Danio rerio: one gene and its partner. The protein of the gene in region 2 interacts with the protein of the main gene of each other region in a pairwise test. Links are inferred from orthologs where the notes say so. Each region holds a gene or a part of one and is shown on either strand. Other genes may lie near its edges.

Region 1 (3,519 bases), on a different chromosome or scaffold from region 2:
AACCATTTGAGGAAACCGATTGCTACAAACCATTTGAGTAAAAAAAAAAAAGCTAATCTATGTGAGACCTGTGAACTTACTCCATTTAAGTTGAAGAAATGATGAGTTATTTAATTAACTCATTACCTTCAACACTGAGTTCAAAACTCTTTTTAGATGAGTTAATTAACTTTCAGTAAATTTTGAGTTAACTACACTCATTTCATTTGATAAAGTTGACTGTTGGATTTTACAGTGTTGTAAAATGAAGGTTGAATGGTATAAGGTTGAGTAATTGATTAAACTTTGGGTAAATCAATACCTTTAACCCCTTTTATGAAGTGTATTTATTTCAGCTTATTATCGTTTATTATATTAAACTTTTTTTTTTTTCAGAAATTTGACTTTTTTGCGTAAGAGTTTTTTTGCTTAAGACTGAGGTAAAATACTTAATTGGAAATTTAATATGAACATCTTAGTATTTGATGTCACTTGATTCTTTAAATGTAAATTCACCTAATTTCTAAATGCAATACATATTGTTTTTTTTTTGTTTTTTTTTGTTTGATTGTAGGTTTAAAAACCAGTTGAATAAATTACACAGAAGATAAACTGAAAAACATATTAGGAAATGTATCATTTGTTAAAAAAATCATATATTAGCTCATATTATGAACATTCTAATGATTTTATTATTAGGGAGGCAGTTTTCAATTCTTGTTGGCTTGATATGCAAATCTAATTGGATTTGAAAAAATCTATTCATTTTGTCATCCCAGGGGAGGAGGCTCAACATGGAGGACTGCTTGCACACTTCCTCTGACAACCTCGCTAAACTAGTGAAATGGGCCCACAGTCACGGGACAATCTGCACCTTGATCCCCAACCTCAAACACATGCTGAACGAGGGCTCCCATGGGACCCTCACGGCCCTGTGGGGCTGCAGCGCCGGGCATGCCTACCACTGGCCCCTCAACACCACCTGCAAAACCGGAAACAAGGAGCGCATGTGTTTCCAGGAAAGTCGGAGCATCAACACAGACACTATGATTCAGGCCGCCGCCGCCATGCAAAACTCCTCGGCAGATCGATTCCTCGGAAAAAAAAACAAAGGCGATTCCAATCAGATCCACGACTCCTGCGATATTTCCAACTGCAGTGAACCTTCAGAAATGGACGATAATGGCGAGGAGTATAACAACAACTTGTACGACATAGTCTGTGAATCATCAGCAACTGATGAAGATGGTGATTCTGACTTCAATCACACGCCAAACATCTCGCACAGGAAAAGACATGGAAAAGGGACGGGACATGAAGACAGTATTGACCCCTCCTTGAAGAAAATCAAACAAGAAAGAGGCGAAGATTACTACAGTTTGGCCAATCCACAGATTCCCAGCAGTTCAGAGATAAACCGCTCTACCGAGTTGCCCAAACCGAACCTCCAGAGCACACCTTTGATGTCCCAGAAACCTTCTTCCATAGATGGAGACTCAATGGGGGTGTCGTCATCTCCCTTGGACAGTTCTCCTACTTCCATGATCAAGCCACTGCGTGCACCTTTCCATGTTACCCAAAATAAAGTGCACATGAACTCTAATCCAGCGTGCAGTCAGAGTATGCCCACTTTACCTCATCCTGGACGGATTGACGCTATGGGTGTCCTGCACAGAGATGAATATCCCAGACCGTCTTTGTCTTACGGAGAGGCTTCGATTGGCGCAAACCCAGAAATGGATCTTCTATCTGCACAGGCACTTAGTACAGAAGCGAGAGCAGACAACACAGGTAAAGAGCCTTCTGTGTAAGAAATGTTACAGAAGTGTATGTTGTTGAGAATGTTGTTGGTTAAAGTGGCTGTATGCAAGTTTAGAAAGACTTATCAGTGCTGTTAGCAACATATAGCACAACTGCACTGTGAGCGTTCTGATTCCCAACTCACAGACCTTATTCAATCTTGCCCTAGTCTCTCTCTCTAACTTCACTTACAAAACGGCAAAAGGAAATAAAAATAAAAAACTTGTTTTTAGCGACACCAGTGGCCAATCAATGAGTTACAGTTCCCCTCGTATGCTGCGTTCAACCAGATGCGGCATGTGCGAATATATGCACGGACATTTACTCACTTCATTCGCACGTCAAATTCACTTTACTATAGATGCAGATTTGCACTTCTTTTTGCCCAGTGACTCTAGCTTTGTTGCTAAATGGCTTACATGGACTTTATTAAGAGAATAGCTGTGTTTTATGTGCATTAAGAACGCTGAAAAACAGCGTATATTTCTTCGGCACCATGTCTAAGTCCACTAGATCCTTTCAGAGGTGCACCCAGCTCTGTGAGTTTATAAACTCCTTTGGAAAGTATACCTGGATGATGGAGGCTTTCAGTGATGCCTCTGACTGAGCCGAGCCCAGTTTGATAAGCTGTTGTCTGGTGTCTGCAAGAGGATTTTCTACAGGATCAAAAAGCATAACGTCATAATCATGCCCCTACAAGAGAAAACTCCTGACGCGAATCTATGCTTAAGTTCAAATGCACAAAACGCTTAACTCATGTCTCTTTATTCACACAAATTGTGCCATTCGTGCTGCGGAATGTCAATCATGTAAATCACACGCGATTGATGCTTCGTCCACGTTTGGTGTGAACGCATTATTATTGTTTGTGCTTACATTTGTTCACACACAAAACATTGTGCATGCTGGGACATTTTCACTTCCAGCAACTGTCTTTCCATTATAAAACTGCCATGTTTAAGGTCTTATTTCTTTAAAAATCAGCGATCTTTGCTTCCTGATAGATATATGATATGAAGTGTGTCCAGACCGGACAAGAAGAAGCACTGCATTAAATTCCTTTTTCGTCCGCCATCTCTTTAGAATATGTTTACCCCAGTATTTTCAATAAAGTTTCTGCGCTCACCTGCTGATCCTGACAGCGCTAGCGAATACAGTCTTTTCATCTAATATTACGATTAAACAACTGAACGCATGCTTTAGTCTATTAAACTGAATTTATTGTAATTACATAATAACATTGATGCTGTTAAACCTTATGAAAATGAAAATATTTACATTAAGCTTTCACCAGAAATTTATCATTGGCTGAAAAACACTAGCTCTGCATATACCTCATTGTGCTTAATAATCATCCCGGTGTGCACAAGCCTTAACATGCAAGAACCTAAACGTGAATGTTAATGGCGGAAAGAAAACAGTAGTTAAACAGGATCACGGCGACATGAATATGCTTGCATAAGATCTGCAATTGACCATCATCATGTTGAAAGACAGTAGACATTAAAACAATGTTATAATAGTTTTATTGTCAATTATTTTAAGACTATAGACCAGGCCTGTCCAAACTCGGTCCTTGAGGGTCAGTGTCCTGCAGAGTTTAGCTTCAACCCCAATTAGGGCCTACTCACACTATGCTATTTGAACCGTGCCCATGCCCGTTTCCTGGAGAAGTGTGAGTGCGCTGAATCGGGCTCAGGCATGGTTCACTTGGCTGGCCCTGGCCCGGTTGGAAGAGGT
Region 2 (4,291 bases):
GCAGGAACATTTCAGACAGCGGCTGTGCCAATAGCTGTCCATGGCATAGAGGAGAAACCGATCAGCAATCTTTCCCCCACAGCCCGCGCAGCGCTTCCACGACAGAGATCCCGCTCCAACAGGTGGGGGCTGGGCACTTCCTCCAGGGTTCACCATTGTGTCTGCAGAAACATAAAGAGACAGGGAGAAACACTGGAGCAGTAAGTCAAGAGTTAAGCAGTTTTTAAATGCGTGTGCAAGAGTACTATTTTATATTCTAGTTTTGTAGCTAAATACAAATCAAAAGCCCTTTCAACAAATGACAAACAGTTGAAATTAAAATTAGTAGCCCCTATTTTATTTATTTATTTATTTATTTTCCTAAATGATGTTTAACAGAGCAAGGAAATTTTCACAGTGTGTCTGATAATATTTTTTTTCTTTTGGAGAAAGTCTTATTTGTTTTATTTCAGCTAGAATGAAAGCAGTTTTTGATTTTTATTTTTTTTTTATTTTAAGGTCAATATTATTAGCTCCTTTAAGCTATTTTTTTCTTTAAAAATCTACAGAACAAACTTCTAAACAAATGTTTAGAAATGTGTTGAAAAAATCCTCTACTTAAACAGAAATTGGGGAAAAATAAACAGGAGGGCTAATAATTTTGACTTCAAAAGTATATATATATATATATATATATATATATATATATATATATATATATATATATATATATATATATATTTGCACACAGTTAAAAAAAGAAAGAAAAGTAACTATAAAAGCATTCAGCATTACTTAAATCCACATCTCACAAAGCAAGCACACCTAAGTTTCCTCAACTTCTGACAGAAGTTTTGTCTTAGAAATATCTAAAACACCTGGAGCCTGAACAGTGACCTAAAACACTGAATGTTTTGGGAGGCACGCTTCCTAAAAGCTCTTTTGAAATAATTTAAATGCATATAATGCCTTCAAGCAAGTCTGAGAATTGTTTAAAGTGGCAGGCTGTCCTTGATCTTTATCTAAGTGCTGAAGTCAGCTCCTTTGGTCCATTTGTGATAAATGTCTGTTCACTGATAACATTAAAGTCACTGGAACAATTAGAAGCACTGGCTTTTGTTAGGTTGTCTGCATTGCTTTAAAAGTACATTTTCCTGAACCTTCATGAGAGAGAGAGAAAGAGAGAGAGGAATCCAAATGCTACTGTTGCCAGAACTGGAGAAGTTAATTGAGGAAGCCTTAAAGTTGTACGACCCATTCAGAGGTCGACATATTCCAATTGCTTTCACTAAGGTTATCAGATGACGGATTTCCAGCCAACATCATGAAGAACATTCAGCAGCATTCGCTTTGGGGACTGGTCACTGCTGCGTGAAATTACCCCTACTATGTTGGATCATTCTGCATATGCAAGAAATCAGTTAATGCCGGCCTACAGAAATATCTGCCTCTGACAGAAATCACATTAACCACAAACCCTCATTTACGATTGCAGTTCTGTGCTTTGCTCTGTTGATCCATCAGTACTGTGTGTGTGCAATGTTTCCCAGGTTTCATAAGGAGGGCTGCTGGACCGAAGTGGGAAAGATTAAAATTTAAGATATATTCGTGAAAGGCTGTAAGCCAAATCTTTGTTGAAAGGTAATTAGAGGAGAAGAGAGAGGCGGGGGGTAGAAAACATTGCACTGAGAGAGAAAGAGAGAGAGAGAGGCATTCAGTAACCCCATTAGTGGAGGCTCTTAGGGACAAGCAATACCTTAGTGCTGATTAAATCTAAAGGGAGATGAATCAGAGACCGAAAGTGACTCCCCCAGATAAATAAGATCGGACCATCGTCAAGTTTCATTCCCTGGAAGAGGGAAGAGGGGAGATTTGAAGAGAGGGAGGGGGTGGCTTTTAAGTCAAATGGGCAAACTCAAGTAATTACACGGACAGGCAATTTAAGAGAGGGGATGTGCAGAAATATAAAACAGATCAGCAGCCCATGGCCAGTAATACAGATCGCGGTGCTGGAGACTAAATACAGCTGCTCCTGCCAGAATGCACAATGCAACATGGACAGAATTGCACTTGTGTTATGGTTTGTTGACCATCTGTACAGCACGCGCGCACTTAAGATGCACTAATAAGATATTAAACTCGAAATGCCAGCAATTTCCAAGATTACGTCTAAATAACCTATGTGGTCTTCTTATGAAACAACGCGCATCGCTCATGTTTAATTCACTAACGTACATTATTACGGTATAAGTGCGTGACATGCAACACAATTTGCACACAAGCACAATACATAAAATCTAGTCATTAAGTAACTGTAATCTTTTATGCTTTCGTGTGTAGTGTTTTTCTGCAACATCAATTCTGTCGCTCCGTAACAAACGTGTCTCGTCAAACTACGAAATATTACCATTCATAAAGCAAAATACGGTTAGTTGAAGAGAAGTGCACTTACCTCTTTGAAATGTAATGGTTGAATGGTGGTGAGAAATGTACAGCAGTCTGTTTTCTCTGTAGAAAATATATAAAAAATAACGCGCACAGTCCAACAAACTCACAGACGGAGCAGCGCGTGGATGAACACTTCTCGCTGCTGCGAAAGAGTCAAGCAAATGGAGTTTTCAGATTATATTTCCACTGTTGCCGTCACCTTTTTTCTCAGATGCTCTTATTATCACTGAAAAGCTCGGCGGCGGGTTTGTTGATGGAGCTGTCGGCAAGGTCTTCGGTAATTTCCATAGATGAAGAGAGCGCTTGTGTTTGTAACTGTCCTCTCTCGCGCGCTGATGTCTCGCCGCTGCTTGTCGCTTGTGCTCTACATGTGTCAGTGACAGAAAAAAACCCAGAGTAAACCTCCTCTCGCAGGATGACGTCAATCAGGCTGTGGCCAATCATGACGCACTCCATTCAAGCGGAATGAGGAATACAGCCAATCAAAAGAAGGCGAGGTTGACTTCGACACACACTGTTCAAAGAAGGAAAGATTGCGGTTGAGAGTGGCTGTCTGCTTGTTGAGGTTGGACAGGGCAGAGGTGTTCAACCGTCGGGACCGGGTCCCACTATGGGGCCTCGGTAAGCGCACAAGGGGTCCCCAAAATGAAACATTTTTAAATAAAAAAACATTTTATACGGAATTAATTCCTCATTTACAGCATAAGACCAACAAGAACCGTACATTCATAATATTTATTATTTAAAGGAGTTGACAGTTTTCACATCTGCATAAAATCACAGCTCCCTGAATATTGTCTTGCATGTTAAGAAAAAGTTTAGATATATTTATTGTATTTTCTGTTACTTTTAGTCTCTGTTATATTACATTATTAATTGGTTTTCATTTTTACTTATATATTTATGTATTTGTCTTTATATATTTGTAATCAAATGTAGTTAATTTATTTGATTAAATATGATTATAAATTTTACATGACTCTTCAACTAAAATATACTTAAAATATTTAGTTTTACAGTTATTAGTTTACTTAATACTAATGTGGTATTAAAATAATAATAATAATAAAATAATAATAAAAATAATAATAACAACAACAATAATATATATATATATATATATATATATATATATATATATATATATATATATATATATATATATATATATATATATATATATATATATATATGTTTTTTTTTTTTTTTTTGTGCAGATATGAATTATTCTACCTTTCCTTTGACATTGAAAGAATGTCTGCAGAGCAAATCCTTCATCTGGAGAACTTCTGCTCCATATCTACAAAACTGATTGTGGAAGTTTCATGCTATTAGTAAGTATTCCAGTGTTTAAGTGTTCCCATATACATATTTCATCTATTTCATATTAGATTGACTGAGGGCTGTGTTAACTATATAAAAGTCTATTTGGTTTCATGGACAAAGTGAAAATTCACTACACCACTACAGAAGTCACGCTCATGTTCTTATAACAGTGGCGCCATCCCCTGGTATAAATGAGAACTAAAACTATAGATTTGTTGGTCGCCTTTTCTAAGATTTAGCTTTGAGACTTAGCATAACCTTAATAAATTCTTTAAAATAAAATAAAATATTCAATAATAAGGTTAACATGTCATGCACATCATTATGTCACAAAATCATGAAACAACTGTTATTCTATTTATTTACAAAGGTCACAAATACACCAAGAAAGAACATCATTTTTTATGTCCGAAGGCTTTTAAAGATGATTTGGGTAGCACTTTATTTTGATGGTCCAATTGAGTATTAGTAGACTGTCTGCTAGATATCTGTTGATACTGCTCCTTCAACAGACATTTAACTGACTATAGACCATTTC

The links. The genes of interacting proteins can lie anywhere in the genome.
Region 1: the proteins of lmo4b (region 2) and kiaa1958 interact in binary tests that used the Homo sapiens proteins (3 or more experiments, as listed by UniProt). The two-hybrid records come from large-scale screens. The link is inferred for Danio rerio from reciprocal best matches to the Homo sapiens genes LMO4 and KIAA1958.

What each region holds. Positions count from the first base shown.
Region 1 is NC_133185.1:11,943,962-11,947,480, forward strand, and holds part of kiaa1958 (uncharacterized protein KIAA1958 homolog), read left to right. Parts: intron 1-758; coding exon 759-1,770; intron 1,771-3,519.
Region 2 is NC_133181.1:28,424,094-28,428,384, forward strand, and holds the start of lmo4b (LIM domain transcription factor LMO4b), read right to left. Parts: upstream 2,803-4,291; 5' UTR 2,432-2,802; intron 162-2,431; 5' UTR 157-161; coding exon 1-156. UniProt on the Homo sapiens protein: Transcription cofactor. Plays a role in establishing motor neuron identity, in concert with MNX1, acting, at least in part, to disrupt LDB1-LHX3 complexes thereby negatively modulating interneuron genes in motor neurons.